Arabidopsis thaliana: one gene and its partner. The protein of the gene in region 2 purifies or fractionates together with the protein of the main gene of each other region. This does not show direct contact. Each region holds a gene or a part of one and is shown on either strand. Other genes may lie near its edges.

Region 1 (6,101 bases), 890 kb from region 2:
AGAACGTTGGCTCCCTAACTCTCTTAAGTTGCCTGAGCTTCCCAAATCCATGGAAAACCTGCTAATAGACAGAAATCACTAGACTAATTAAGGTCACACTGACAATAAATGAGTAGGTGAATGTGAAGAATGATGGCTAGTTACCTTTTATCTTTTCGAAGATTGGTTGGCGTGTTAGATTGAAATGCAGGAGTCACTGGTTTGAGTGATATAGGCACAGAAGATGGCATTAAAGGAGCTGTCCTTATTGGACGACCATTGAAAGATGAACGAGCTGATGGAGGTTGGTCCATAGCACTGAGAGACTGGGATGATTTGTTAGAGATTGCAGAACGAGCAGATGGAGATTGCTCCACTTGGTTTGTTGTCTGAGATGGATGCGTCAAAGTTGACATAGCTGAAGATTCTGTGGAATCCTCATATAATGAAGATCGGCTACCTGAAGTTGGAAGTCCGGTCTGAGGTTGTTCCTTAGTACGAATTGACTAATGGAAAATTAAAGGAAGTTTTAGAAGACGTAAAAGCAACAAAACACTTTGAGGCGTGATAAAGTTAATGCTGATGTATATACTCAAAAACGTTAACTACACACTCTTCTTTCATGGTTAATGCTGATAAAACTTTTACAAACTTCAAAACACCAATAAACAATTTTCTAGTACTATGATATTTTGGAATATAAAACCTGTTCTTGAATGACAGATTTCTGAAAAGCTAGCAAAATATCATTGTAGTAAAACATGTACTAGTTCAGGATTCATATTAGAGGGGACATTATAGAGACTAAGTTCAAATAGAGAAAGTATCAATGTGAGACAGAATAGCTACGAACTAAAATTACCAAAGGAGTGCGAGGTCTCATTGATCGTCCACCTGCAAGTCCAATGCTTGGCATGCCACTAGTATACGACTCATCATAATCAACATCACTTTCTCCATTGGATGGTGGCTGAGCTACTGCATGTGGATGCCTCAGTGGAGGGTTTTTAGTCTGTAATACACAAAGTGAAATATCAAGTTTAACGAATAATAACTAGCAAGAACAGTAAGGATATCAAAAATTTCACTACTAGCAACATGACTCTCAACATTCTTATAGCTGATATACAAGTACAAGATTCAAAATGAGTGTGTTTAACAAACTAATTACCAGAGGAGAACGTGACCGTGCAGCCCTTCCACCAGGAAGTCCTACACTTGGAATGCTGCTTGTATAAACATATGGAGTCTCATCATCTTCGTTATCCTCATCTGCTCGCTGATGAGCTGCCATCACCGGACGCCCTTGTGGTTGGGTTTTGTTCTGTGCTTTCCAAAATATTGAAATTTTGAGAAATAGTTAAAATATGAAAATAATAATAAAAACCTAGAAACAACAAGTTTCAAGAGTCGATCAATACCATAGAAGATTGTGGCCGCATAGCCCTCCCACTTCCAAGCCCAATACTTGGTCTACCAATTGTATAATCTATAGAAACAACATCATCATCATCATTACCGTCATTCTTATTTCCTTCGTTTGTTGGTTGTGTACGTCTCGGAGGTGCAATCTTAGTCTGCACCAAAAGAGTAACAACATATGAAAGCTGAAACCAAGATACACTTGGCAGGCAAAAGAACTTAAAACTAGACTGACCATCACAGGAGACTGAGGTCTCATTGCTCTTCCACCAGGAAGTCCAATACTTGGTCTACTGCTCGTTACATCCACTGAAAAATCATCATCCTCATTGTCCTCATCAACTAACTGTGGAGTTGCCATCTGTTGACGCCTTGCCATAGGATTCCTAATCTGTCAGTCCAGAAAACACTATCACATAAAATCCCTACATTGCAAAACCCTCATTACAGTGAAAAAGTGAGTCTGTTAATTTTAATTACCACAGGAGAGCGAGAAGGATGAGATCTTCCAGCTGCGAGTCCAATGCTCCCTGTTCCGATAGCATTATAGTCAAAGGAAAGGTCTTCATCACTATCTTCCTCGTCCCCTGTTTGATTTGACATCACAGCCGCAAGTCTCTGAGCAGCTGCTTTTGTCTGAGCTTTCTTAGCATTCGAAGCTGGCCCAGCATTTGATCCTGAACGTGTATGACGATGCATTAGAGGAGACGTCATCATAGGCGAAGATGGTGTTCCTGGTTCCGTACTCTTATTCCTAACATGAATAGGTCTCGTGTTTCTCATCGTCAACTACAAAAATTAAGCACATTGATTTTCATCATCACATTCACATCAATGGCAGTTTGATTGGAACTAAAAATTCCACACATTGAATTAAAAAAATAGTTACCAAATTTGTCAAAATTTTGGAAATCACAGAAAAGTGAAATCCAGAAAAATGGAAAAAGAATTAAATGCGTGAATTAAACAGAACCTTACAAAATTAGATTCAACAGAAATCTCAAAGAATGTTTCAAAAGAAAAAGCAATGAATAAATTTGCCATTTATGGCAGCACATATTTCTCTCTCTGACTGATCTTCGGTCATTTAGCCAGAAATTGCGAGTGGCTTTCAACGGTCGGATTGAGAACAGTTTCTTCTTTAATTATTTATACTTTCATCCCCAATAATTTATTATTGTTATCGATAGTACCTAAATTTATTTATTTTATAGTTTTCATCCCACGATTGTGTAATAATTATCCAAAGTACCCTTTTCCAATTATAATAGCATTATCATCTTTTTGTTTATGGTTTAGGTACAGTTTTTAAAGTTTTCTCACGGTTTGTAAAATAGAAAAAGGAAAATCAAGTAACTAAGAGATATATTATTTGATTTGATAGTTAGCTCGTAATTGTTTCGTCTACCACAACGGCATATAGAAATTTATATTTCTAGTTATGACTTATGATCAGTGATTATAGCATATGTTGTATGATAAAAAATATTTTTCATATAGTTTTTATTTCTTATTAAATTATTAATTACTTATTAGGCAATACATATTTTTTCATTTATTACTTGATATCTCTAACTTTTGCTCTCTTTGTAATACGTAAGTGTAACTTATCTCTGTGTTGTTTTTATGCTTGGCAACATCAATCCTTAATAAGATAGATGAGCTTTTTATCATATCCGAAATAGCCTCTAAGCAGCAGAAAGATGAAAGAGATGATTTAGCCATTCCTTTTGCTAGATCAATTCTCAACCATAAAGATTCTTTGAAAGAGATGAGACTGATAACATTTCGGGATATACAAAATCCTTGGAAAAGGTGAATGATGCGTCCTTATTACTATTTATTATTTCTAGAGTTAAAACATAAATATCATATTTGTTTTTTTGTTCGGTAGGCTCTTGAGATACTTCAAGAACAAGTTAAGATATCTGAGAGACTATGGTTGTGCAAGAGACTTTTCTTTCCCGAATGAGGATGATAACTAGCAAGCAGTTTAACCAAAAAAGTTTAAATTCTTTAGTACTTGAGGTATTTTATTCATGTAAGATTTTTTTTATTATTTCTCATTTCTTCAGTGTTATTGCAATAGAATGGTTCATCTGTTTACAGGTATGCTCTTAAGTCCTAACGAATGCAATGACCATGAACATTGATGATGTCCATGTTGCCAAGATATTGGGAGTAGACTCTCGCAAATCTTGCGTTGTCTGTGGTATCGTCTTTAAAAGTGACGATGTAGGTAACATTAGGCATCCTTTGAAAAATGCAAAGGTGAGACCAGGTTGAACAAATCTTGCATAACATGGCATCCTTTGTAACTGTCTTTCTCAAGGATGGTTGTGTTTTTAATTGTTGACTATTTTTCTCCTTTATTTTGGGTTCTAGTCTTCTAGGTACATAACTTTGGAAAGTCAAAGGAAGCCATGCTTGAGACTTTGGTTAAAGATATTGCTTTTTCCAATGTAAAAGTTATTGTTAGTCGGTCATCAATTTGTGAAATGACACTACGTTTCTGCAAAATTTACAAGTAAGTAATCTCTAACATTTGAACCTACTTTGAATCATTTTTTCTGAACCTTTTGATAAATACAGTGTTGGCAATACCATTTTTTTTAGGATAATGGTTCTACAGATTTCTTCTGACATTGATATTAACAGTTTATGTTCAATAGTTGGTGCAATTGATTCATCTCAGCATTTCCAACCTCATCATCTTGGATACATGGATTCTACATCATTATCAGAGATTGGTAATTCCTCAACAATCACTTTGTGTGGAACGAAATGGAAAGTCTTAACCAAACAACAAAGCTACATTACTCATGGAATCAATACATACAATTTAATACTTGTATATTTACTGAATTAGTTATTCTTGTCTGTAGCCAAGAGAGCTGTAAAGAAGGCAGAGAGAGATGCAGAGAGGGCTGAGAGAGCCTCTCAGAAGAAAGCAGAGAAGTTTAAGAGTAAGCTCCAGGCTGAGAAAAAGAAGGATTGAAACTAGATCAGATAATTGATGTGTTTCTTTTTATCATGTAATGAATGACTTAGAGTAATGTAGAGATTATTGTTCTTAAAAGGTTTGCGGGAGCTGTCTTCACTAAAGGTAAAAAAATCTTAACATGTGAACTCTTTTTGTCGACTCTATCCTTTTTTAGAAGCAGAGGTCTGTTATTAGATGATTATTTAAGAGACATTTTTGAAGTATTTGCTCTGTATAAAGGATCATGAGGCATTTTTTTGTCATGTCTCAAAAATAGACGGAATACATTATCAAAGTTTATATATTTATAGATTATAATGTGTAAGAAAGCAATGTACAACCATGTCTAACGCATAAGCCCCAATAACGTAAAAGCCAGCACCTCTTCAGAACAATCTCTTCCTAAAGAGAGCTCCAGATGAGAAACTATCGATTTAAAAAATACACTAGATGGAAACAAAAAGTATGAACCTTTAAAAATACTCCTCTCGAGTCAATATCAATCTATTAGTCACGGTCTTAAGAGAGTTAAGCTCGAATTCAACTTTATAAAGGTGCTCTAACGAAGATGTTGCCTCCTCCCTAGCAATCTAAAACGATTCCAAGATCTAAGGTGTTAGTACAAATACCCGTAAGAACAACAACATATCAAAACTTGAAGTACCTCAGCTTCTGTGTGAAGAGCCAAAACATCTACCCTCCTTCCTCCATGATTTTGTGATGCAACTCTCAAAGCAGCCTGAAAAGAATTTGGTTCTATGGATTATGCTACTTTTTTATAGGCCAAGATCTAAACTAGAATCATAAAGCCTCATGGAACTTTATAATAAAAAAATAATGTATGAGACCATGTAGATAAATGATAAGACACTAACCTCTCTCTGAAGCAAGAAACACATTCACAGAATTAAATTTTTGTCAAAGGTTATCCAGAATTTAAATAGAACGGAAGCTTACCTGCTTTAAAGACGTGCGTTCATAGTAACACCTTCTCCAAGGATTTCAACCTAATAAAAATCGGTTTTGAGTTTACAAATGTGATAAAATCTCGAGGTAATGAAACAATATAAACAGTACGTAAGAAGAGATTTGTATGATATACTGAGGCATGAACCACCTGCATACCTGTTTCTCAAGTTGCTTAGCTCTAGCATCTGATTCTTCACACTTATCTTCTGCAAGTCGAAGCTGGGGATGCACAAATTAGGATGGGATGCATACCATAATAAAATTGTACAAGGATTATCTAACTTCAAAACAAATCTTGTATATTAATACACATAAGATTGGCAACAACTATGATAAAATGATAGGCTAGTCCAAATAAAAAATTCAAATTTGCCAGTGTAATTCAATGATAGCTTAATTGTAACAAATCAAGAGATTCTTTTCAGGAAAAGATGTCATCAAATGAAATTGAGTAACTAATCCATACTGACACCAAGTGTGAAAATTTACTGGCATCACCTTTTCTAACTACCTTTCATTTTCTTCATATAACATTTGAATTTTACATCAGTTTCCATAATCTAACTATAAAAATAATAATTCAACTTGATATCTATTTGAAATTTAGTTTGATTCTTGATTTGATCTATATGACTTGGAATCCTTGTGTCTGAATCAGGGGCGGATCTACATTAGCATGAGATAGGGCACGTTCCCCATACTACTTCTTAAACTTTAGCTAGTAACAATTGATTGGTTATATCTTTTA
Region 2 (10,491 bases):
CAACTCATAGCACCAAAAATCAGCACTCAAACCATACACATTACCAGAATGATAAATCAGCCACCTAAATTATGCGAATCCATCTTTATACCATACGTAAAATTGTACAAAAAGAAAGGAGATTATCACTAGCCCCAAATCTACATTATTGATCTAAGAACAAACCAAACACTACCATTTACTTGGAAGCTGCAACAAATCCTAAAAGTTCATCATTTTAACCACTTGTCGATTTCATTTGTAGTAGCTTTCACAAGCTTCTTCGTGCTAACAACAAGTTCATCAATCAGTGAATCAACTTCATTCCTGTCAACAAATCACCAAAGTCAAAATCATCATCTTCTTCTTCAAATCCTTAATCACTAAAAATCTAATTGCAGACAAATACTCACAGAGATGGTTTTCCAACGTTGTAATAAGAACGAGAGTGATCATAAGCAGCTCCTCTTCCAACACCATAGCCAAAACCTACACCAATTCCACAACCAGCTCCAAATCCAAGACCAAATTGTAATCCAGGAACTCCTGGTCCGAATCCTACACCTGTTTTCATCAAACCAATCTCTACTCTCTTAAACCAAAACTATCTATAAATAGCTTCGAGCGATTCGCGAGTCTGCGATCAAAATTGGGAGAAATTAGAAATTTACCTCCGATAAGACCGGCGCCGAAACCAAATCCGCAACCGACACCGAGTCCAAAAGCTGGACCAACTTTTCCAATGTCTCTGATCCTAACTTGGGGAAGTTTCCAGAGCAATCCTTTGTCATCGTCTCCGGTTCTTCTTCTGTTGCTCATCGTCCCTTTCGCTCTCTCTTTCGGCGTGGATTCGCCAATACATACTTTAAATGGGCCTATATTATAAGGCGCACTCTTATTTCTCAAGGCCCAACTTCAGCCCAATAGTCATATAGATCTCATTTCACAAGCGATATTTGTTATGTTTATTTTATTTTAATCTTTTGTTTTATATCATAATGAATTTTATAGAAGATATCTGTTATGTTTATATTCATAATGAATTTGTTTTATATCATAATAATATGGATTTTCATTAACAACATTTTTTTTAATACATAAAACTAAAAAACCCACAATTATTCTCAAATTTTCACTTTGTTTTCAGTTACTTTATATATATTTGCCAAACATATTATATAATATATGAAGATTTGTTCTTACATATATTTAATGGATTGATGCCTCATTAGTTTTATTCTCAATTTCAAAACTAAAATTAATAACAAATCTTTCGTAAAACTATTAAATTTTAGATTCAACTAGATTAAACTCCATCCAATATGCATGTTTAATTTTTAAAACTAAAATAAATTTAACAAAAAGATATATTAAAATCTTATTGTAAGTAGAAAATAAATATATAATATTTTATTTTGAGAATTGTTTATTTATATATTCGTTTTTTCCTTATTCGAAAAATATTATACATGGAAATTACTAGTCAAATCATCATCTAATTTACATCTATTTACAAATCTATCGTCTACTTTACCACTAAAAATGTGTTTACTCACAATCATATTTTCTTGTTGAAGTATTCTCATTCCCACCACGTATAAAATGATTATATGAATGCATAAAGCCAACTACATGTGTTTTTATTTTCACTTTCACATAGTTTTTTAACCACTAAAATTATTGATTCATAAAATATTTTGAAAGAAAATATATCACATAGCAATAATTAATGATTTATTTATAAGAAAAACTAGAATAAGTAAAAATTACTCGATCGCAATGAGTCTATAATAAACCAATAAAGGTTGAGAAATTTGATTGGACAAAATTATAAGCACAATGATAAAAGATTAAGGCTTATAGATTCTATCGCAAGTAATAATTCTTTTCATTTTATATAAAACTATTTTGCATTTAAAAATATGTTTATCATTATTTGTTGCATATTTTGTACGAGAAAATTATTTGAAAAAATTCTATGCATGTTTTAATGTTAAAAAAAACTCTGTTGAGTGTATTCACGAGCCACTCAATGTAATTTTTATCTGATGTGAACATAATATATGCCTAAAGAAAAGTTTGAAACTCACCCTTATATTCAGATTGATGTTGTGGACTAATGTTGAAATATATTCTAGTATAAGTTCTAGACCACATGATTTCATATAAACTTAGGTCCAACTTTCACCAATTATTATGAAACATTTGTATTGGGTCTTAAATTTTTGCGACCCATTTGCAGATATTTTTGTTTTGTTTAAGCCTCGAAATTAGCAAAACTACCCCAAAATTAACAAAAATGCCCCATAATTAACAAAAATACCTTATAATTAGTAAAAAGTTCCATAATTGACAAAAAATGTCCAAAAATTAATAAATAAAAATTATCAATGTCTCATAATTAGGAAAAATAAATCAGTTTTTATTTTAGAAAAGCGTCAATTTGTTTTGTATTTGGCCTTGGATTTTAGATTTTAGTACATTTCTTATTATATTAAAGTATGTATATTAATCAATATTAAACTACTATCTTATTGATCATCATTTAACAGTTTATTCATCTAATATTTTCATCATTATTCATCTAATTCATCTGGTTCAGTATATCAACCACCATTTGACAGTTTCATAATAGTCAAAATATTTTCCTTCTTCCTTAAATCGATTTTTTAATACCAATAAGTGGAAGTTTGACCCAAAAAGAAAACAAACAAGTTAATGGGCTTACTACGGCCCATTAATAAACAAAAACGCACCAAAACTTCATCTTCAACGCCGGGGACTTTGATATCATCTGCGCCGAACAAAAACTCTGCAGAAACCCTAATTTTCGTCAGTGATTGATTCTTCCGTTTCCACCATGGAAGAAGTATGCGAAGGAAAAGAATTCTCATTCCCTCGTCAAGAAGAAGATGTCCTCTCCTTCTGGACTGAAATCGATGCTTTCAAGACACAGCTCAAACGCACTGAGAATCTTCCTGAGTACATCTTCTACGACGGACCTCCTTTTGCCACCGGACTTCCTCACTACGGACATATCCTCGCTGGTACGATTAAAGATATTGTGACTCGGTATCAGACCATGACTGGTCACCATGTCACTCGTCGGTTTGGGTGGGATTGTCATGGCTTACCTGTTGAGAATGAGATTGATCGGAAATTGAATATTAAGAGGAGAGATGAAGTTATTAAGATGGGAATTGATAAGTATAATGAAGAGTGTAGGAGTATTGTGACTCGTTATGTTGCTGAGTGGGAGAAGGTTATTACTAGGTGTGGTCGTTGGATTGATTTTAAGAATGATTATAAGACTATGGATTTGCCTTTTATGGAAAGTGTTTGGTGGGTTTTTTCTCAGCTTTGGGAGAAGAATCTTGTTTACAGAGGATTCAAGGTTTGTTTGGCATTCTTCTTCCTGCATTGATGTGGTTTTGAAGTTTCGTGGATCGTGATTTTTGTATTTGGGTCAATTCTGGTTTGCAGGTTATGCCGTACAGTACTGGTTGTAAGACACCTTTATCTAATTTTGAAGCTGGTCAGAACTATAAGGTAATGTTGTTGTTATTGTGTTCTTCAGGTGATTGATTTGTGTTGTATAGTTTGATCTCTGATATTGGTAGAATGTGTGTATGTACAGGAAGTCCCTGATCCTGAAATCATGGTGACTTTTCCGGTTATTGGGGATCAAGATAATGCTGCTTTTGTGGCATGGACTACTACTCCGTGGACTCTTCCAAGCAATCTTGCTTTGTGTGTAAATGCGAAGTTTGTCTATGTGAAGGTTCGTAACAAGAACACTGGAAAAGTGTACATTGTTGCTGAATCTCGGTTGTCTGCTCTTCCCACTGATAAGCCTAAGGCCAAGTTAAGTAATGGACCTGCTGGTGATACTAAGAAAGCAAATCCTAAAGCTAAAGGTGCTAAACCTGAGAGTGCAGCTGATTCTTATGAAGTTTTGGAGAAATTTAATGGAGCTTCCCTGGTTGGGAAGAAGTATGAACCTTTGTTTGATTACTTTAGTGATTTCTCAAGTGAGGCCTTTCGAGTAGTAGCAGATGATTATGTCACTGATGACAGTGGTACTGGTATTGTCCACTGTGCTCCTGCCTTTGGTGAAGATGATTATCGTGTTTGTCTTTTGAACAAAATAATCAAAAAGGTTAGGTTTGACTACATCTTCCTTATCACCCTTGCTAACATCAGGCATGAACTTTGCTCATTTGTTGTTTCTCTCTTGTTTAGGCTTACAGTATCTTCAAGAACCCATTCTCAGTTTACTCTAATAATCTTGCTTTATCTCATTGTGTTAAATGTTCTATATATGTTGCAGGGGGAGAATCTAGTTGTTGCTGTTGATGATGATGGGTTGTTTACTGAGAGAATTACCCACTTCAGTGGCCGTTATGTCAAAGATGCAGACAAGGATATAATTGAAGCCGTTAAGGTGATTACCGATGCTTGATAATTAGTCAGTTCAGATCATAATGATTTATCTGTTTCTTAGAGAATCTAAGTGCTTTTTGGACCATTGGATTTCTTTACTGTAGGTGATTTGTTTCATGAAGTAATATTATTTTTATTATTTCAGGCCAAGGGCAGGCTTGTTAAAACGGGAAGCTTTACTCACTCATACCCATTTTGCTGGCGATCAGACACCCCACTCATATATAGAGCAGTTCCAAGTTGGTATGCTTCATTTTCATATGAGTTTGAGCTAAGGTCTTAGTAGTTGGATCATTTAGTGCTAGTTCCAGTGAGACGGTCTCTCTTGTCCTTGCCTTGAACTTTGGCTCTTATGATTATATCTGGCAGCCCCTTTTCGGAGCTGTATTAGGTATCTTTGTGTATTTTTTTTGCAGAATAATCACCAAACTGTTTAGGATATTTTGATTTCCCATGTTTTCATTTATTTATTTTAGATTTCATATGTAGCATCTGACCTAAATGGCACGTAGTTATGGTCATAACTTATGAACTTTATTCTGTCGTTTTTCAGGTGTGGTTATGACTTTAAAGTTTTTTTTTGTGTTTTGACCTGTTAGGTTTGTGCGTGTGGAGCAGTTGAAAGAAAAGTTGTTAAAAAGCAATGAACAGACAGAATGGGTACCTGGTTATGTGAAGGTCGGTAGAAGAAAGGATCAGTACTCTGAGTATATATTACTAGTTCGTTTTGTTAAGTTTCTGATATGAATACATTTTTTTGATTAATGTGCAATTCAGGATAAACGTTTTCACAATTGGCTCGAAAATGCAAGGGATTGGGCAATCAGCCGAAGTAGATTTTGGGGCACGCCTCTTCCGATATGGATAAGTGATGATGGGGAGGAAGTTGTGATCATGGATTCCGTAGAGAAGCTTGAAAAGCTCTCTGGTGTTAAGGTCTCTTCTTTTGTTTTATTTACATCTCTCTTTATATCAGCAAATAGCTCACTGATGCTTTGGGAAAGTCTACTGTCATGATCTCGGTACCTTTATATGCAACCATTTGCTACTACTCAACTGTTGGATAAATTTTTCTAGAAGTCTTCCTTATATGTTCTGTCAACTTTATGACACTCTATGAGGGTTTGGTCTTTATTTAGTACTGGAGAATGTAGTTGTCAAAAAGTCTAATACTCATTTGTTTCTCTGATGATTTATGGTACAGGTCTTTGACCTGCATCGTCACCATATTGATCATATTACAATTCCATCTAGTCGTGGCGATGAGTTTGGTGTGCTCCGTCGTGTAGAAGATGTAAGATGAACCAATTTCTTTCATTTATCACTTATCCGGGGTCTTATCCCAAGCTTAAGTTTATATACGCTTTTACAGGTTTTTGATTGTTGGTTTGAGAGTGGGTCAATGCCTTACGCGTATATCCATTATCCGTTTGAAAACAAGGAGTTATTTGAGAAGAACTTTCCTGGTGATTTTGTGGCTGAAGGTCTTGATCAGACTCGTGGATGGTATGTCATTCCATATCTTGACTGTGGGGAGAAATATTAGTTAAGCTTTAGCATTTAAAATTATTGGATTGATATTTTGGTGGTTACGTGATGAAAAAAGGTTGCTTTTTATTAAGGTCTTTGAGAATGGAAATAAACCTTTTACCTTGTAGTATTGCAAATCTTAGTTAGTGTTTATCATGTCAACCCAAGATAGTTGCAAAAAACCCATATCATTTCAGTTCTCATATTTTTTCAAGAGTGGATTTCTACATTGATATATCCTATAAGCTCTTCTGACAAATTATTTCTTGCTTATCTCTGGGTTTGTTCCGTCCCTCTACTTTATGATATCTGGATCTTAGTTACCTCAATGATTGCACTTAATTAAGTTATGAGTCGATGCTAAAGGAAGGTGTGATCAATTTACTATGAAATGTGATTCTAGAAGTGTTTTGAAACGGGCATAATAAACAATATTTTTTTCCTAAGTAGAAAATAAATAGTTACTAAACTTGTCGCTGGGTATCTACAGGTTTTATACTCTTATGGTGTTGTCTACTGCATTATTTGAAAAACCAGCGTTTAAAAATCTGATTTGCAATGGTCTTGTACTTGCTGAGGATGGGAAAAAGATGGCTAAGAAATTACGGAATTATCCACCACCTTTGGAAGTCATAGATGAGTATGGGGCTGTAAGTTTTCCCTATAATATGCTCTTGTGCTGCGTTTTGAGCTTTTTCAAATGTTCTCTAGCTAAGAAAATCTTGGCAGTGTGTGTACGTAATAACTTAGTGACTTTACATGAACCTTGATAGGATGCTGTGCGATTGTACCTGATAAATTCTCCGGTTGTACGTGCTGAGCCACTACGCTTCAAAAAAGAAGGAGTACTCGGTGTTGTGAGTGATTTTGGTGGTTGAATTTATTGCTGCTTTATTGCTGTTTATTCGTGGTTGTTGTCTGAATTTTTTTCTGGTCCTGCATTGGGATTCACTAGGTCAAAGATGTATTCCTTCCATGGTACAATGCATATCGGTTCCTCGTTCAGAATGCAAAGAGACTTGAGACTGAAGGTGGTGTGCCCTTTGTTCCTACTGATCTGGCAACTATACAGTCAGCAAACATTCTTGATCAGTGGATTCACTCAGCTACGCAGAGTCTTGTTCGTTTTGTCCGCGAGGAGATGGATGCCTATCGGCTTTACACTGTAAGGTTTTTACATGTTATTTTCAGCATGATATGGTGTTCGCATTAGAAAACCGCCATCACTGTCTCCTGGTATTTATTACATCTTGGTTTTTGTTTTTCTTGTTTAGGTGGTTCCTCGTCTCTTGAAGTTCCTCGACAATCTCACTAACATATATGTCAGATTCAACCGCAAGAGATTAAAAGGCCGTACGGGGGAAGATGATTGTCACACTGCTCTTTCGACTCTATTCAATGTATACTAAAAATAGTTGCAGAGATATATTGTTTGTGGTCACCATGATTTGAACACTTGTTATATCTAATTATTGTCTATTTTCAGGTGCTCCTTACTTCTTGCAAAGTGATGGCCCCGTTTACACCTTTCTTCACTGAAACTTTGTACCAGAATCTGCGGAAAGCGTGTAAAGGTTCTGAGGAAAGTGTTCACTACTGCAGTATTCCACCAAGGGAAGGAATGGTAAGACTCAAGTCCACGTCTCTATATCCAATAAGAGAATAAAAGTAATCTGAATTTTGCCTGCTTATATTTTCTTTCTGTGTTTGAATAGGAAGGGGAGAGGATTGAGTTAAGTGTTACGAGGATGATGAAAATCATTGATCTTGCTCGGAACATTCGTGAGCGTAACAAACTACCCTTGAAAACTCCTCTAAAGTGAGTGTTGGTACTTGATCGTTTTCAGTTTCTGCTTTGTTAACCTAAAACATGAAAAAAAATTCACACATGCTTATCCTTGTTGTATCAGGGAAATGATTGTAGTCCATCCCGATGCTGATTTCTTAAATGACATAACTGGAGTACTAAGAGAGGTCTGTGGTGTTACAGGAACAGTAGTTTATCTTCTTGAAGTTTTAACTAATATTATAAATATGAAACTTTTTGAGATTATTGAGAACCATTTGATATCAGCCAATGATAGCTATGTGGATTTATCCTGTTTAATTTTGCATTGCAGTATGTCTTGGAAGAACTTAACGTGAGATCGCTTGTACCATGCAATGATACTCTGAAGTATGCATCACTAAAAGCAGAACCAGATTTCAGGTTGGTTAAGTTTTCTGTCTGTGTTTTTCTTTAAACCGCTGAGCTCAATGTGCTTTAGCCTTTCCAAAGGGATGTAGAGTGAAATTTTACATGTTCATTCCTGCAGTGTATTGGGAAAGCGACTTGGAAAGTCGATGGGGCTTGTTGCAAAGGAAGTTAAAGAAATGTCTCAAAAAGATATCTTAGCATTTGAGGAGGCTGGGGAAGTTACTATTGCTAACCACTTGCTAAAGGAAACAGATATCAAGGTCTCTCATGCTATGATGTTTTCCTGTGAGATAGCGTTAAGAGTATGTTGTTAATAGCTAAATTCTGACACATATCTTTCATGTGTTGTTCAGATTGTTAGGGTTTTCAAACGCCCAGACGATTTGAAAGAGAATGAGATTGATTCAGCTGGAGATGGTAAGAAGCGTAATTAATTATCACTTCTCTGTTGGTAGGATACACATATAATACTTGCTTTCTTTCATGATGCAGGTGATGTTTTGGTGATTCTGGATCTACGAGCAGATGATTCTTTGGTTGAAGCAGGTTTTGCCCGTGAGGTAAAGATATATAACTTCTCTAATAGTGTACTAGTCCTAGATGAAACCAAAGCAATACATTTTCTTATAACTTGTATATCTTCTGTGGGGTTCTTCTTCAGTATCTTAATATTTTATTTGCATATAAAGCGATGTTGTGCTTATGAGCTTAGTTTCCCTGTGTTAAAGATTGTAAACAGGATCCAGAAACTAAGGAAAAAGTCAGGTCTGGAACCAACAGACTTTGTGGAAGTGTACTTCCAATCATTGGACGAGGATGAATCTGTTTCTAAACAAGTTCTAGTCTCTCAGGTAACTAGTTTTTGTTTGTTACTCAATTCATCTGAACTTAAATTCTACTTGAAATTTACGAATGTTTCATTGCTTGTACGTAATTATTTGTTCAGCTATGGATCAAACGAAAATTTATGTTTCCAACATGAATGTCTTCAACCACATGCCTTAATTCTGTCTCATCACTGTTGTTTGTTGAACAGGAACAAAACATCAAGGATTCAATTGGCTCCACTTTACTTTTGTCTAGTTTAATGCCATCACATGCAGTAAGTCATCAACACTCCCATATCTGCTTATTTATTTGCACGGCAGAAGCTTAATGTTTATCCTCCTATCTTTTATGTAACAGGTCATAATAGCCGATGAGACATTCACCCCAAAAGAAACATCCGATGAGAGTGTCAAAAAGGTTCCAAAGTTGTCGTATAAGATAAGTTTGGCTAGACCGGCTTTGAAGTTCAATGAAGAGGCTGTTCTTGCTTTATACTCAGGTGAGTCACCATCTCATCACAATAGATTCTCACTGTCAATTCTCTCTCGCTTTCTGTTTAACGTGTATATTTATGGTTCCAGGAGATGTGAAATCTGCAACCGGGCTTCAAACATACTTGTTATCAAGGGATCATTCGAATTTGAAGTCAGAGTTCCAAGCCGGAGATGGGAAGGTTCGTTAGTTAAGCTTTTGTTAACCCAAATCGTTTACTTTATCATTTTAATGTATCTTGTATGGCAGATAACTGTAAGCTGCATTGAAAATGTGCCTGTTGCGACTGTGGTTCTTGGCGAACATCTCCATTTGAGTGTCGGCGATGACTTATTGAGCAAGAGGAACGCATGAGCCGTCCCTCCGGTTTTGTTTGATTTATTGTGGTAACTTGGGATTTATTTCCCTTATTTTTCTTCTTCCATATCTTACCTATAAACTACTTATTTAGATTGTTGCAAAAAGTTAAATCTCAGTGTTGAGACTCTCTTTTACTCGTTCTATTTGTACAATACTAAACTTTTATTCATCTCAAAATTTATGGTTGGACAGATATGTGATTGAGTCCAGTGACCAAAGTTGAACATTGATTTTAGTACAGAGAAGGCAAGAATCTTGTTAAAATCTGAAATTACCTTAACAAAATTTGATTAATGTTTCGGTTGTCATTTGGGTCTTAAAACCATGGGATTCCTGATGCCTATGTCCATTTAATTATGGTCAGCTTTTGGACAAGCGACATGGGCAGCCCATAGTTTTTAATATTACACTTATGAAGTATTGTACTTATATTTTTAATATTAAACTTATGAAGTATTGAAATTATATCATTGTGTGAAACACTTAAGACTTAAGTATGGAGTTTTGAATAAATGTGTTCATGATATCATGTATTATTTGGATTCATGGACTGTCCAATCTATTATGGTTCTTTTTAGGTTTCGTCTAATTTAGACATTGCTCATTTGGGCATGGACAACCCATTTGATATCCTACCTTTAAAGGATCCAGATTTTCGTTAA

The links. Proteins that work in one complex are often made in the same cells at the same time.
Region 1: the proteins of AT4G10320 (region 2) and AT4G08640 fractionate together in Arabidopsis thaliana (co-fractionation; one large-scale study listed by BioGRID). This does not show direct contact.

The regions. Positions count from the first base shown.
Region 1 is NC_003075.7:5,509,776-5,515,876, forward strand, and holds AT4G08640 (ATP binding protein), read left to right. Parts: upstream 1-3,537; coding exon 3,538-3,672; intron 3,673-3,794; coding exon 3,795-3,928; intron 3,929-4,017; coding exon 4,018-4,151; intron 4,152-4,286; coding exon 4,287-4,399; downstream 4,400-6,101. Other genes in the region: AT4G08630 (fas-binding factor-like protein), read right to left, coding at 1-61, 145-485, 842-991, 1,151-1,303, 1,401-1,556, 1,637-1,792, 1,882-2,184.
Region 2 is NC_003075.7:6,396,858-6,407,348, reverse strand, and holds AT4G10320 (tRNA synthetase class I (I, L, M and V) family protein), read left to right. Parts: upstream 1-2,676; 5' UTR 2,677-2,839; coding exon 2,840-3,373; intron 3,374-3,462; coding exon 3,463-3,528; intron 3,529-3,616; coding exon 3,617-4,138; intron 4,139-4,309; coding exon 4,310-4,423; intron 4,424-4,567; coding exon 4,568-4,665; intron 4,666-5,021; coding exon 5,022-5,100; intron 5,101-5,199; coding exon 5,200-5,358; intron 5,359-5,626; coding exon 5,627-5,716; intron 5,717-5,794; coding exon 5,795-5,928; intron 5,929-6,442; coding exon 6,443-6,602; intron 6,603-6,725; coding exon 6,726-6,809; intron 6,810-6,907; coding exon 6,908-7,117; intron 7,118-7,226; coding exon 7,227-7,352; intron 7,353-7,438; coding exon 7,439-7,576; intron 7,577-7,667; coding exon 7,668-7,771; intron 7,772-7,862; coding exon 7,863-7,926; intron 7,927-8,072; coding exon 8,073-8,161; intron 8,162-8,267; coding exon 8,268-8,409; intron 8,410-8,502; coding exon 8,503-8,566; intron 8,567-8,641; and 13 more. Other genes in the region: AT4G10330 (glycine-rich protein), read right to left, coding at 213-306, 393-543, 651-798.